Notamacropus eugenii: one gene and its partner. The protein of the gene in region 1 interacts with the protein of each later gene in a biochemical or structural test. Links are inferred from orthologs where the notes say so. Each region holds a gene or a part of one and is shown on either strand. Other genes may lie near its edges.

Region 1 (7,626 bases):
ATAAACTGCGAATGCTTCTTCACAATTTCCTTTATTCTTCGTTCCTCCAAGTACTCAGTTTGGTCCTCTTTCAAATGCAAAATTACCTTTGTTCCACGACCCATAGGTTCACCTAGAAGAGGAAAGGGAAAAAGTATATGTGGGAGACTCCTCTGATTTGTAATTTCATCTGAAATCTCTAACCTCAAACATAAATGGGAACTAAGAAACCAATTTAATAGAGAATACTAATGATTTTTTGAAAATCCTTTCCATACCTCTGAAACAATACCTCATAGTTCTATTCAACCAAGAAATTCATTCAACGTGATGCTCAGAATGCTTATTTATTGTAATTTTATCTTTGAAGATTAACTACAAATTTTCTAACAAATGTTTCCTTCTCATTTTATGTTTAAAATGACAAGCAGTAGTGCTGAACTTACAATAAAGAACTATACAGATCAAGGTAGTTCTTAAAGAATAATTATACTAATTTTGTTGAGCCTATATCCTATTCTTTCATGTTATAAAACTACCCTGGGTTTTATTTCTCAGGCTACCATTCATAGGAACTTGTGTATCTAGAACCAGAAGCAAATTCAAAAGCTACCTAGCTCAACCAAGGCCCTCATTTCACAGCTGAGAATAATGTGTAGTTACTGTGCCCCTGGTCAGTTTCAAACGGGGCTTTCCACTCCCTCCCTCTTCCACTGTACCAAAATACTTTCCCTCTCCCTCTCTGCATAGAAAATGCTTTAATTGTACAAAAGCGAGGTCTCACTATGCACATACCTACATCAGTCCTAACGGTGAACGACCCTCCTGCTGAAGACTCCCAGGCATACTGTTCATCATCGTTATGTTTGGTGATGACCGTCACCTTCTCAGCCACCAGATAGGCAGAATAAAAACCAACACCAAACTGACCAATCATGGAGATATCTGCACCAGCCTGTAATGCTTCCATAAAAGCTTTGGTTCCGGACTTTGCTATTGTACCAAGATTGTTGATTAAATCAGCTTTGGTCATTCCAATACCAGTATCTACAATGGTTAGGGTGCGATCATCTTTGTTTGGAATGATGCTGATGTTCAGCTCTTTCCCAGAGTCTAGTTTACTTGGATCTGTCAGACTCTCATACCTGATTTTGTCCAGGGCCTACACCAAGAAAAACACGTTTAAAAATTTTAATCATGAATTAAAACAGCTATACTGGAATTAAATTCAATTTCAGTAACACAAAGAAAAAACTTACATCAGATGAATTTGAAATCAGCTCTCTCAGAAAGATCTCTTTATTAGAGTAGAATGTATTAATGATTAAAGACATCAACTGAGCAATTTCTGCCTGAAAGGCAAAAGTCTCCACTTCCTCCTCCTCCATGGGTTGGTCCTGGGTCTGCGTTTCCTCAGGCATCTATGGAACATTGTTATCAGTTAGTCAAGCAATATCAATTAAAGATTTTTAAAATTTCAACCCGTTTTTACGTGAGGGTTCCTAACAGATTTAATGGATCTAAAATTAGGGCTACGGTAGAAAAAAAATGAGACTAATTCACTTGGAATCACGTCATTATGTGAGTTAATTCATGCTTCAAGGGGAACACTTTAAAAACCGGGGCCACCGACTGATTCAATTGCTTCTCATCCTTTAATTATTGAAGAGACTACCACCACCTCCGTAGCCGGATTAACGCCACCAGGCTCAGCTCATTAAGAGGATAAGCCGTCCTCTACAAAGGCAGAGGACTGAGGCACAAAGCTGAACTCTGAAACGATGCTCAAAAATTCACTCCTATTCAATCCCAACACGAGTAACGTTTAAAGCATTGGTAATTAGACGCTGGGGATAGCGAGGAAAAGGTAAAAACTAAGTTTCCCATTTCACAGAGCTTACAACATACGGGGCTTAGAATCGAAAAAGAAAACGTTTAAAAAAAAATCGACGAAAGAGGCCCACAGCACGCCTCCTACGAAGCTCTTCTTAGCCTCGCCAAGCCCCTCTCCTTACGCATCGCCCAAGGAGATCGGTGGGCAAAACGGGCAGTGCACAAAGTCTCAAATCCCCCACTCGCTTACGAAGATTTGAGTTTGGGGGTACCCCCAGCCCCCCCCACCCTCGGGCTCCGACGCAGGTGCCCCGCCCGCCGGGCAGAGCAGCCCCGGGGGCAGGCGGGGGCGCCGGCGCGCCACGGGCTCCTCACCCCCCCACGCCAGGCACCCTCCTCGGAATGGGGGGGGCCGAACCCCCATCATTATTTCCCCTCTCCCAGTCCCGGGTTTTTTAGGGGCGCTCGCCTCGTCCACTTCTCGGGAAGGGTGGGTAAAAGCGGCGGGGGAACGAAAATTGGGGGGGCGCCTCAAGACCTGGCCCCAGGGCCCTTCGGGCAAGGAGGGAGCCAGGGAGGAGCCTCCCCCCCACCCTCGGGGGCGCCGAAGCCGGGGCAGCTTCCCGCCTCCTCCCGGTCCCCCGAGCCGCGGCTGCGGGAAGGGCAGGTGAGCCCACGCCCAGGTCCACGCTGCGGGAGCCGCGGCCCGCCGGGGTGGGGGGGGGGGGGGGGTAACCTTACCTTGGCAGAGAGAGCAGGAGCCCCAAGGCTTCAGCCGGCAGCGAGACGGGAGAGCAGCAAACTGGCGCGCGGCCGCCCCCGCCCGCCCCTTATATAGAGTCGGGCACTCCCCGCCTCAGCAGCGCCTTTTCCAGAAGCCTCCGGAACCTTCCGGAAGAGGGTTCTCGAGCCCTCCCCAACCGCCGCGGCCCTCGCGCGTGCGCACAGGCTCGCGGCCCCCGCCCCGCGGCGAGGCTCCTCCTCCCGCCCCCGCCCAGGCCCTGCTTTCTTTCTCTCTGCTCCTCTCTCTCTACCCCTCCCGCTTCCTTTCCCTCTTCGCTCTCCTCCCCCACTGCGGGCTACGGAGGAGGCGGTGGAGAAGGGAAGCTGGGCTGGGGAGGGGGGTGCGGGTTTAGCGTGCTTCCATCTCCCCTCTCCTCCCCCCCCACTCCTCTGCGGCCCACTCACCCAACCCCCAACCGATTGCGCGCGGACACAGCTGCCAAGCGCGGGGGGCGGGGGGAGGGGGCCAGGGGCGCGTGCGCACAACGGCCTGCCCGGGCTGCTGCTGCCTGCGTCGGGGCCCGCGCCGGGCTCCTGCGCTGTTGCCATGGCCTCCCCGCTAATCGTCTTGCCTTCTTCGCCACCGACCGCCCCCACCCCGCCGTCGGAGCAGTCTTGCTCTTACGCAGCAAGATTTGTCCCGCTTCTGCTCACGCGTCTTTCTTTCATAGGGTTAGACCTGCGAGTGTTCCTCCCCTCCCCCCTTTTTACAGACGAGGAAACTGAGGCCCAGAAAAGGCACGCACTCGCCCCAAGCCCTCAGTCTGGGTGCTCCGCGGCATCGTCTTCTAACTACCTGACTAGGATCCCTCGGTCAGCTTCGGCCCTGCTCCTCCCCCTCCTCCCCCTCCTCCCCCTCCTCCCCCTCCTCCTTCTCCTCCTCCTCCTGCCCCCGGCCTTGTAAACACGGGCGTTGCACCAGGCCGAGTCTCCACACTCCGGGAGATCTGACCCACTCCCCCGTCTCCAGTTACCGCCTCCGTGCAGCGGCCCTCCCCAGCGGCCCCCAGACTCCACTGCCAGCGGATGAATGTTTCCACTTGGATGCCCAGCTGGCATCTAAGACAACACGTCTAAAAAATTTAATACAAAATCCTTCATTTTTAAAAAATATTATTTATTTTGACATTCTTTTGAGCTCCAGATTCTCTCCCTCCTCTACCCCCTGAATAAGCAAACAATATTGGTGAGAAATCACGCAAACCATTTCTGCATTAGCCATGCCCCACTAAAATAAGGGGAGAGGAGGGTGCTTCAGTTGGCACGGCGTCCGTCCGTTCTCTCCGGAGACGGGTGGCATGTTCTCACCGGGAGTCCTTCGGCATGGCCTCGGGGGTTGGATCGATGGGATCAGAACATCGCTGCCACGGTGCCATCCTCCCCCAGTGCTCACTCATCCCCCTCCTCATTTCCCGCAGCCCCGCAGTGCTCCATCACAATCCGGTGCCACCACTTGTTCAGCCTTTCCTGCCTGACGACCCCCCCCAAAAAGAGCTGCTGTGCAGACAGGGCTTTTTCCCTTCTCTGTGATCTTTTTGGGATACAGACCTAGCACCGGATCAGAGGATGCCCAGTTTTGTAGCTCCCTGGGCACAGCTCCAGATGGTTGGACCAGTTCAGCACTCCACCAGCAGCTCCTTCATGTGCCTATTTTCCCTCATCTCCCACATCACTTGTCCTTTCCGAGAGATAGGGAGTGCTACCCCAGAGTTGTTCTATTTCGCATTTCCCTGATCAATAGCGGTTCAGAACATTTTTTATAAGACTATAGATAGCTTTGATTTCTTCTTATGAAAATTGATCAATTGGGGGATGGCTCTTATTTTATACATTTGATTCCCTTCTCTATATGTCTGGGAAATGAGAGCTTTATCAAAGAAACTTGCTGTCATTTTTTTACATCCTTGTTTATAGTACCTTTTAGGAAAATGGAGTTTCCCAGATTTCTTCTCTTAATTAGGTCTATTTGGCTTTTGCTTTGAGATCATGATTGCTACCCCACCTCATTTATTTCGGCTAAAGCATAAGAGATTCCCTTCCAGCCCTTTATTTTAACTTTGTGTTGCCTTTACATTTCAAATCTCTCATAAACCGGACAAATGGTTGGATTCTGTTTTCTGATCCATTATGGGTTAGCTCATCCCATTCCCATTCACAGTTACAAGTGCTATGTATCTCTTCCATCGTGTTTTCTTCCATTTATCCTTATCTTTCTATCTTGTCCCTCCTCAAAAGTCTGTTTTGCCTCCCTTTTATCATCTCCCTCTCCTATATCTTTTATCCCCTTTTCCTCTTATTTCTCTATTGAATAAGTTACATTTATATACAACTGTATATATATTCTTCCTTCTTTGAACCAACTCTGACAAGAGAGGTTCAGCCATTGCACCCCCCTTCTCTCTCCCCTATAAAAGCTCTTACTTTTGCCTGTTTTATGTGAGAAATTTTTCTCTATTCTACTTTTCTCCTCCCCCTTCTCTCAGTACATCCCTCTTTCTCACCCCTCCTTTTTTTTTAAAAATTATCCTAGCATAAGACTCACAGCCGTGCCGTCTGTTCCAGCCTCTTTCCTCCCTGATATTCCCATACTTCCACATTAGGCTGTGGCCCAACCAGCATAGTTGCTGACATTATTTTCCACTGTCTCCTTCGCTACAGTCTCTAGGGAGGAGGTAACCTTTCTGCCTCCAAAGGCTAATTCCATACATGTACCCCTGATTCAGGAGAATGCTGAAGCCACTTGTTAAATTTTCAGTGAGGCAGTTAAACCTTAGAAATCAGCAAACATTGCACTCAGGCCTTGGCTTATTGTTTTGTTGATTATTTAGACTTAAGAAAGTGATGGAGAAAATTATAAAAAAGCAGATTAAAATTACAGCTTGTATTTTCAGAAAGCTTGGTTGTTAAACATTTGCTAGCACATCAGTAACTCCCTATCACTTTCAGGATGAAATATAAAATCCTGTCTGGCATTGAAAATACTTCATAATGTCCCCTGACCTTTCCAACCTCCTTACCTCTTACCCTTCCACCCCTTCTTCTCCTCCACTATGTACTCTGTAACACTGGCCTTCTTACTGTTCCTTGAACAAAACGTTCTATCCCTGGACTCTGGCCATTTTCACTGACTGTCCTCCTTGCCTGGAATGTCCTTCCTTCCTCACATCTGCCTCTTGTCTCCCTTGGCTTCCTTTAAGTCTCAGCTGAAATCCCAAAAGGATTCTATAGGCATCTTTCCCACTCCCTCTTAATTCTTTCCTCTCTTTAGTGTTGTTTTTAATTGTTCAGGTATGTCTAACTCTTCATGATCCCATGGACCCTACTTTCTGTGGGGTTTTCTTGGTAAAGATATTGGTGTGGTTTGTCTTTTCCTTGAGTGACTAGCCCTGGGTCACACAGCTAGTGATGCCTAAAGCCAAATTTGAAATCAGGTCTTCTGGACCCCAGACCCCTGCATTTCATCCACTGAGCCATCTAGCTGCTAGTTGATTATTCCTATTAATCCAGTATATACCTTGTTTGTAAGTAATTGTTTGTCTCTCCCATTAGACAAACTCATGTACCTCTAGGGTGGGATCGTCTTTTGCTTTTATGAATTTGCCTGTCTGAGTTTTCATGATTCTAGTCTTACTAGCTACATCTACCAGTCAGACTACTTCTCTTTGGTTGGATCTTCATTCAGGTCACACCCACTGACTATGGGTTTTCCCCCAGGGTCTGTCTTGGCCTCCTTTCTCTTTATAATCTCTCACTAGGTGATCTCTTCAGCTCTCATTAGTTCAATTACCATCCTTTTGCAAATGATTTCTAGATCTGTTTATCTGGCCCTAGTCTCTCCAGTCCCACATCCCCAACTGCTCATTGGACATTTTGAACTGGATGTCCCATAGGCATCTTAAGTTCAGTATATCCTAAGCAGAACTTATTATCACCCTATCTGCACCTTTCTTCTGAATTTATTGTATTTTTTAAGAGTCACCTAGGTTTGAAAACTCATTGCCATCTTTTTCCTACTCCACACATTCAACAAGTTGCCAAATTTTGTCATTTCATTCTCTACAATATCTTTCATTCCTTTTCTCCATTTGCATAACCACTACACTACTTTAGGACCTTTCAATTGTACCACTGCAGTATTAATTTAACTGATCTTCCTGCCTTGTCTCGCCCTTCAATCCATCCTCCCCACTACCCCCAAAATGATTTTCGCAAAGCAGAGATCAGATCAGATCACTTTTCTGTCCTAAACAAGCACTAGCAGCTCCCAGTTATCTCTAGAATAAAATATAAAGCCCTCTGTTTAGAATTTAAAGTTCTTTACAACTTGGCCCTTTCCAGTTTTATTACATTCCAGTCTGCTTCATGTTCTGTATTTTACCACATCATTGTTGCAGATTTTATGCCAAATATTTTTGCAAAAAAAGTGGGGTGTGACCATTATGTGAAGCTTTAAAAAATTTGTGCTGGTATTACTTAAAAATCATTTATTATTAAACTGTTTTTGGTGCAAGATTAAACCCATAATCAGAAAGAAATGCTTCACACATTAATATATCGTTGGCAGATGAACTATACAGTTTAGCTATCATGTGACTTACTCATGGCAGTTTTGCCTGACCAACCACTCCCCTTTCACGTAGGGCTCTTCATTGGGTTGAGTGACTATACCCTTAGTGCTACAGTGTTCTAAACAAACAGCAAAAATAGACTTTCTGAAATATACTGACAATGCACGTGCACTGAGAATTCTAGGCTTGTGGCTCCCAATGTGCAAGAGATAAATAAATATCCATATGCCACAGGTGAATACATTTCTGCTCTGTTTACCTTTTAAGCATCTTGACAAACAGAATTATACCATGTGATGATTACATGATGAAAGCTTATAAACCAGTTTTTGGACTGAAAACAAACGAAAAACCAACGATTATGGGGTAAAATAAGGTATTCTACTGTTTAGCCAAACTGGCCAACTTTCTTTTCCTTGGAAAAGAAAACTCTGTCTACTGTCACCATGCCTTTGTATTAACT
Region 2 (6,908 bases), on another chromosome or scaffold:
ATTTTTTCTGGAAGGAAATCTTCTTTCTGACATTGTCAAGTGAGACATTTGGTTCCTCCTTCGGATATTTTTTTCGCAAGAACCCAGATGGAGAGACAGAATCTTTTAAATTGAGTTCATAGATAGGTAGCCCAGAGATCTGGTAAGAGCAGGTTGGGGGTACCATCATGAAAATGGAACAGTGCTCTAACATATACATCATCACATCATCTCCTATCCTGCTTAAAAGTATCTCCCACAAGGCACTGACACTAATTGTTTCTGTTACTGTGTTAGGGTGATAGTTGTAGACGTTTGTGGTAAACTTAACTGGCAATGGCATTCTATTTTCCTCTAAAAGGGTGTATCCAAAAGCCAGAATATTCTTTTTTTTCTTTTCACAAATCCTCTGGACAATTCTAGCAACTACTTCCTTCTGGGAAGACAGCTAAAGAAAGAAAAAAATTCAAAATTGCTGATGGCAGTTTTTTCCAACTTTCTAAATAATATTCATAAGGTGATCCTGGGACCAAAATTCATCTCAATGTTACTCAAAGCAGAGAGCCAATTCAAAACTACATTCAACAACATTTTAAAGTTTCTTCCATATGCAGGGCACCAGGCTAGAAGAAACTAGAACCATATCCCCTTGAAAGTAGATTAAAGAAAATATAAGTCAATCAACAACCATTTTAAAGGCACCAACCATGTGCCAATGCTGGGGATAGAAAGGCAAAATATAAAGCCTGCTTTCAAGGGTCTCACATTCTAATGGAGAGACATAATCCTTTCCCTTGTATTCTACAGGGAGTAAGACAACCTATACATTTAAGTATATCGATAAATAGAAAGCAATTAAACAAAAGGTAGTTTGGGAATGAGTTCACAAATTAGCAGCTGGGAGAAAGCAGAAAGATTTCCTGAACAGGATGCTGCTCAAGGCACATTGCGAAAAAAATAAGGGATGGTACAAGACAAAGGTAAGGAAGGAGTGCATTCCAGACATGAAAGATAATGGCCAATTCAAAGTCCCAGAGAAGGAAAATGGAATGTTTGTGTAAACAATAGAGAAAAGTCTAGTTAAGCTTCACCCTAAAGTCAGGCAAATGGAGTAATGCATAATGAGGATGGGGCCAGGTTGTGAAAGGCCTTAAAAAGCTCCATAAAAGAGTTTACATGTTCTAGAATGGAAGGTGGAAGTACCAGAGAGCCCGTAGAGTTTACTGAATAGGAGAGTGCCAAGATCAGATCTGAGCTTATAAAAAAATCACTTTTGTGGTGACTGTGTGGAAAACGCATGCAAAGGGAAAGAAACATGAGGGAGGGAGATAAAAGATAAGGCTATCATAATGGTTCAGGGAGGAAGTGATAACTTTGTAAATAGAAATGGAAGGAGGTTGTAAAGGTAGAAATGGTGGGACCTAGAAAGTGATTGGATATGTGGTGTGGTGCTAAGGTTATAAACCTGACATGCTAGAAGAATAGTAGTATCCTCAACAGAAATAGGAGTGGGTTTTGGGGAAGAGGTAATGAGTTCTGTTTTGGATATGAGCTTGAGATGTCTCTGGGACGTCCAATCTGAAACATCCAATAGGCAAGGAGCGATGGAATTCAACAGAAACGCTGGGACTTGAATATTTCGTTTTACTAGATGATGGAGTCACCCAATGAGAGAAGAGGGCCCATAATATGGCTCTGGAAGACACCCACACAGGGGGCGTGCCCAGGATGAAGAACCAGCAAAGCATCCTGAGAAGGAATGGTGGTTAGGTTAAGAGGAAAACCAGGACAGAGTGTTTTTTACAAAAATTGGGGACGGGAGGATAGTCAACAGTGTCCAATGACACAGGTCAAAAAAGATGAGTCAAGAAAGCCCCCAGATTTGGTCATTAAGAGATCACTGGTAACTTTAGAGAAAGCAATTTCAGTCCCTGTGATGGGATCCAAGGCCATACTACAAAGGTCGAGAAGAGAATGAGAAAAGACTGTAGAAGGATTTTTCCAAGAGTCTAGCTGAGAACGGGAGAGGAGATATAGAGCAATTAAATGCTAGAGGAGATAATAAGGTTCAGAGAGTTCTTTAAGAATTGGGGAACCTTGGGCACATTTGAAAGCAACAGGGAAGGAATCAACAGATAGGGAGAGATTGAAGGTTAAGGAATGGGGGGGAGGGGGTGGAAGGTGCAATCTATAAGAGAAAAACCCGGGGAATGGAATCTAAGAGCACAGGTAGAACGGCTGGCTTTGGCAGGAAGGGCTCATCTCATCACAGAGAGAGGTGGAAAGTAAGAGGTGACTTCCGCAGGGAAGGTATGTGGAGCTTAAGGACAGCCTGAAGATGCTTCAGTGGGGAGTGGAACAGGAAATTACCTATGGAGAAATGAAAGGTAGAGTCCGAGCAGCCCAAGGTGTTAAATGACTTGCTTCCCTGAAACAATTGGAGTATTTAATCCAAATACTCTCTTGGTCGAGTGGGTAGAAAGGAGCAGGCCCCCCGCCAACCGCCAGCCACTGAGGAAGCCCCGAGTTTCGGTCCGATACTCCCACCCCAGGGCTCCTGGCAAGGATGCATGCATTACCTGCCGGAAGGTGAGAGGCCTGGGGAGGGGCCGGGCACCCCACGGCACACACACCACACAGCCGGACACAAAAACCTGGAAGACCTCGGGATCCCCGCTGCGCAGGAGCCGCACGGCTACCTGCTGGTCCGGCCGGTCCCCCGGAGCCCGCGCGGTCCGCGCCTCGTCCTCGAGGCGCTGCACGAACTCCGCCAGCCCCAGCACATCCCGGTAGCTGTCCCGCAGCACCTCGCGCACCGGGCGGAAGGCCGCCGAGGCCAGCAAGGAGCGCGGGGCCGGGGGCCGGGAAGCCATGGTGCGCGAGGGCCCGGGAGGGTGGGCGCCGCCGCTCCTCCCGCTGCTGCACCTGCCTGCGCTGCAGCTGCCACCCAGAGAGCAGGCTAGGAGCCCGCCGCGGAGGCAGACCAAGGGGCGGCTGGGAGCGGCGAGGCCGGGCGAGGAGGGTAACCCGGGGGAGCCCGAGCTGGGCTGCAGCCCGCAGCGGGGCGGGGCGGGGAGAAGAGGCAGGCGGAAGAGGAAAAGGGGAGGGGGCTTTGGGGCGTCTGGGCTCTTAAAGGGACAACAGCGCCTGGGAAAAGACTAGAAGGTGTCAGGAAGGATTCTGGAGCCCAATTGTTAATTTTCATTTACACTTTCTGGGAGAAGCCATATTTGATAATTCAACATTGTTAATTCAATGTTGGGGGAGGGGGGAGTCCTTAAGTACCTACTAAGTACCTATCTATTAAGCACCTACTATGTGCCACTCATTTTGTGCTAAGCACTGGGATAAAATCGAAGAATCTCAATCTTCAAAGGAGCCACCAAGCTCCACCTAGCCCATCCCAAACCTGAAAAAAGTTCCCTCTGCAACATTCTCTTTCCTACTGTGACTTTGTAACAGGCGTAAATGTTGCCTGTTACAGCTGATATTCCCTCTATCTTGATTCTTTACTATCTTTGTAAAACCTGCGCTCAGGAAGGACCAGCACCTCGGTGTGAGGGCTGACGGATGACTTTTCTGGGCTGCTCCTTCACGTTTGATGTCCACCTTCACCAACTCTCACCTGCATCTCCAAGAAGCTGTAGCATGCTCAGCAGCCACATCAGCAGATGGGCTAAACCAAGTTGAGGATAAGTGACAGGCCTCAAGCTGGTTGGTGAGTTGGGAGGGGCGGGTGTCTACCCCATGCACATGAAGACTTCCCAGGGCTGAAGGGGCCCATGAGAACAATTTGGTCCAAGGGCCATGAAGATAGCTGAACCAGGTGCTTAGATTGCTCAAGTATCAAAGAATCAAGATTATCCACTGCATCCATCTCCAGTCATCTTAACTTTCCTCTTGCCACTGGACTTTGATGACTGGAAGAGACAGCGAGGCTGTTGTCTTTGCAACCTGTCTCACTTAAATTCAGTTCACACCGGGAGTCAAAACAGCACCCCATGATGTCATTGGTCTTCTTCTAAGGACAAACAACTGTTCAGACCCAGATAGACACACCCATTCTCTTTGCTCCTATCTATTCCACCAGCCCAGCTTATGTGGTCAGTGTGGAAAACTAGTCTCTCTTTCCAGGATAAGAAGCTTTGTTTATAATGAAATAACTAATGGAATGAATTTAAACATTTATTGAGCACTAACTGGTAGCAGAACACTATACTAAGTACCTAAAAAATTGAAAAACTTATTTATCCCTTTTGTTGAGGGAATATACCATGCACTGGGGAGAAACAATGTATGCATATGAAATGATATGAATACCAAGATATGATGCATTTCTTGAACTTTCAAAATGAAATAAGTATTCTGAAATTCTCCATGTTTTCCTAGGGGAAAATTTGAATAAGAATTCTAGACATTTGATATGGAAAGTACGTCAGAAGTGTTCTAGCCCAGCCTACAGTTGGTTATGAATTCCCAAGATAATTTCCACATCACTTGAATGCCATTATTGATTTTGGTTATGTTACCATCTACTCTGCTACACCATCCCTGGCACAGCACCCTTGTAACCAGATTTCTAAAGACTGTGTCTTGAGTGGTTAATCCCCTCTGCTTTGGAGCTCCATCCTGAGCTCAGCTCTTCTGACAGGTATATGAAGCACAAATTCACCTATCCTACTGTCTCTAGCCAGCCCCTAGAATGAGACTGCTTGGGGCAGGGATAGCTTTATGGCCAATCTCAGCAGGAAGTAGCTATGAAAGAAGAGACTTTTGCCCCTTACCCCAAGATTTTGGGCCGCATTTGCTGAGAGGGAATGAAGGGGGTGCTTATGCTCAAACTAGAGTCCATGAACCCATTATCATAGCCTCATTCACTATTGCTTACTGTTTTCCAATTTGCATTCCCGGGGTCATCATTCTGGCTAGAGGTACACCCTCTTCAATCTGAGCTGGGACCCGGCCAACTCCCCATTCTCCCTACAGGTGTGATGAACCTGGATACAATGTTTCAGAATGATCTGCAGGGGCAGCTCCTACCTCCTTGCTCAGTCTAAAACCAATCTTCTATCTACGATACATTTTATATAGTTCATTAGTTGGAATGCCATCTGTTCTTCCAAAATCTACTCCTGCTCTCAACAGAGCAACAAAACTCTTTCCTTATCAATCCTCTCTGACCTTGAATCCACTGGCTATTCATTCCTCTGTCTCCAGAAAACCTATCTTTTTCACTAATTCTCACCATCCAAAGTACCAATGATTCTCTCATCTTTTGGGTGAACCAACTCAAAACATCTGTGACGTCCTGCTGAGAAAAATCCTTAGTTACCTCCTACCTACCTTTGGGGAGGTAATTGTGGAGGAACCCTGATTCCCCTGCTTCCTTCTTAATACTGGCCCAACTTCAGCCACCTCACTTGTTTCATTCTCCTTCCACACATCCTCCTGGCCTGTGTTTAAGCCCGAATCAAATCCAGCCTGCACAAGGGCTGCCTTCACTTTCCTATTGTTAACTTTTCGCCTCCTGTGAGACAAACCAACAACAACCTTCTCTTCTACCACTGGAAACTCTCCAGCTTCCTCTCCCAAGGGCAGCCCGAACACTGCTGGACAAAAATTCTCTCCAGCCAATTCCCTTTCCATCTGAGCCTTCTCCTCCAGCAGCCCATCTCACAGCATTTGCATACTGTGAGAGACAGCGAAAGTTAAGTTTCCACAACAAGTTATTGTTAATTGATGAAGTCATTGAGAATAAGATAATAAGAAGACCATCGGACAGTGGCCTTCAGAAAATTACAAAGTTTTTGATAAAGGAACCAAATCTACAGCTAGCTGGAACTAGCCAAGAAAAATGACCTAGAGTTACCTAGAGAAGGCTTTTCTTTACTGCATTTGCTTAATGAACTTCATGCATATGCTTAAGCAGACACACCCTGCATAAAATTATCCCTCCATTTTCTGATCATGGGTCCCATGTTAGAGCATGTTTGGGAGGGGGAATCATACTAAAGGGGGTTACATAATGGACATGCAGAGAAGAGGTTGACCTAAGGGAGGATGGACCCATCCATCTCCTGGTGGGAGTATTTGTCTTGAACTAATGGTATATAGTTCATTTCACTTCTGTATTCAGTGCTCTCTCCTCCTGAAAAGAGGGTGGGGGCCCACTTTGGCCAAAATGATCAATTCCTCTGAACTCTGCAGCAATACATTTTACTTGATACCTTAGTGTCAAGAGTGTCTCTAATACATACAATTCGAGGCAAAAATGGTTTTTTCTTTTCTGAGTCTCCCTGGCCCTCACTACACCCTAGCCCTCACTACACCCTAGCACATAAGGTTCCAGCCATCTTCTGGAGTCCTTCATCCAGAGCTTAGCAAAGCCCTGCCTCTCCTACATAACCCTGCCATTTCTTTCCCTGGTGCCTTTGTTATTCCCTGGAAATATATTTCCAACTCTCTGGGTTCTCCTTTCTGTAGCCTCAGTTCCCAGTTTTCACAAAGTCCTGTGCCCTTAGCACATTCTCTTTCTGGGGCAGAACAAAAATCCTCCCACCCTGGGATGTCCATTTGTTCCTCTGACTCCTCTGCCTTTTTGCCTCCAAATTGAGGTCAGATATTTCATTATCCCATCCCCATGACCATTTGTAGTGCAAATGTAATATTCACAGCACCCAGGGCAGCCATGAATATCATAGTGCAATTCAGAATAGCAAAATACCACAGACTATCTAGGTGGAAAGCAGAAACAAAACATTTATTCAGACCCAAATCCATCACAGCAATGAAAATTTATACACAATAACAATGTAGAGGACAACACCATCCCCAAACCATCCCCCTGCTAGGCTTCCCACAAACCAGGTCCATTATACTCATCACAAGCAGGCTCTCAAACAAACTCACAATCACAAAATCACTCATGC

Evidence for each region. The genes of interacting proteins can lie anywhere in the genome.
Region 2: the proteins of HSP90AA1 (region 1) and TERT form a complex in vitro, tested with the Homo sapiens proteins (2 studies listed by BioGRID). The link is inferred for Notamacropus eugenii from reciprocal best matches to the Homo sapiens genes HSP90AA1 and TERT.

The regions. Positions count from the first base shown.
Region 1 is NC_092872.1:351,894,476-351,902,101, reverse strand, and holds the start of HSP90AA1 (heat shock protein HSP 90-alpha), read right to left. Parts: upstream 3,064-7,626; 5' UTR 2,554-3,063; intron 1,401-2,553; coding exon 1,239-1,400; intron 1,142-1,238; coding exon 775-1,141; intron 113-774; coding exon 1-112. UniProt on the Homo sapiens protein: Molecular chaperone that promotes the maturation, structural maintenance and proper regulation of specific target proteins involved for instance in cell cycle control and signal transduction.
Region 2 is NC_092875.1:345,754,035-345,760,942, forward strand, and holds the start of TERT (telomerase reverse transcriptase), read right to left. Parts: upstream 3,077-6,908; 5' UTR 2,853-3,076; coding exon 2,559-2,852; intron 428-2,558; coding exon 1-427. UniProt on the Homo sapiens protein: Telomerase is a ribonucleoprotein enzyme essential for the replication of chromosome termini in most eukaryotes. Active in progenitor and cancer cells. Inactive, or very low activity, in normal somatic cells.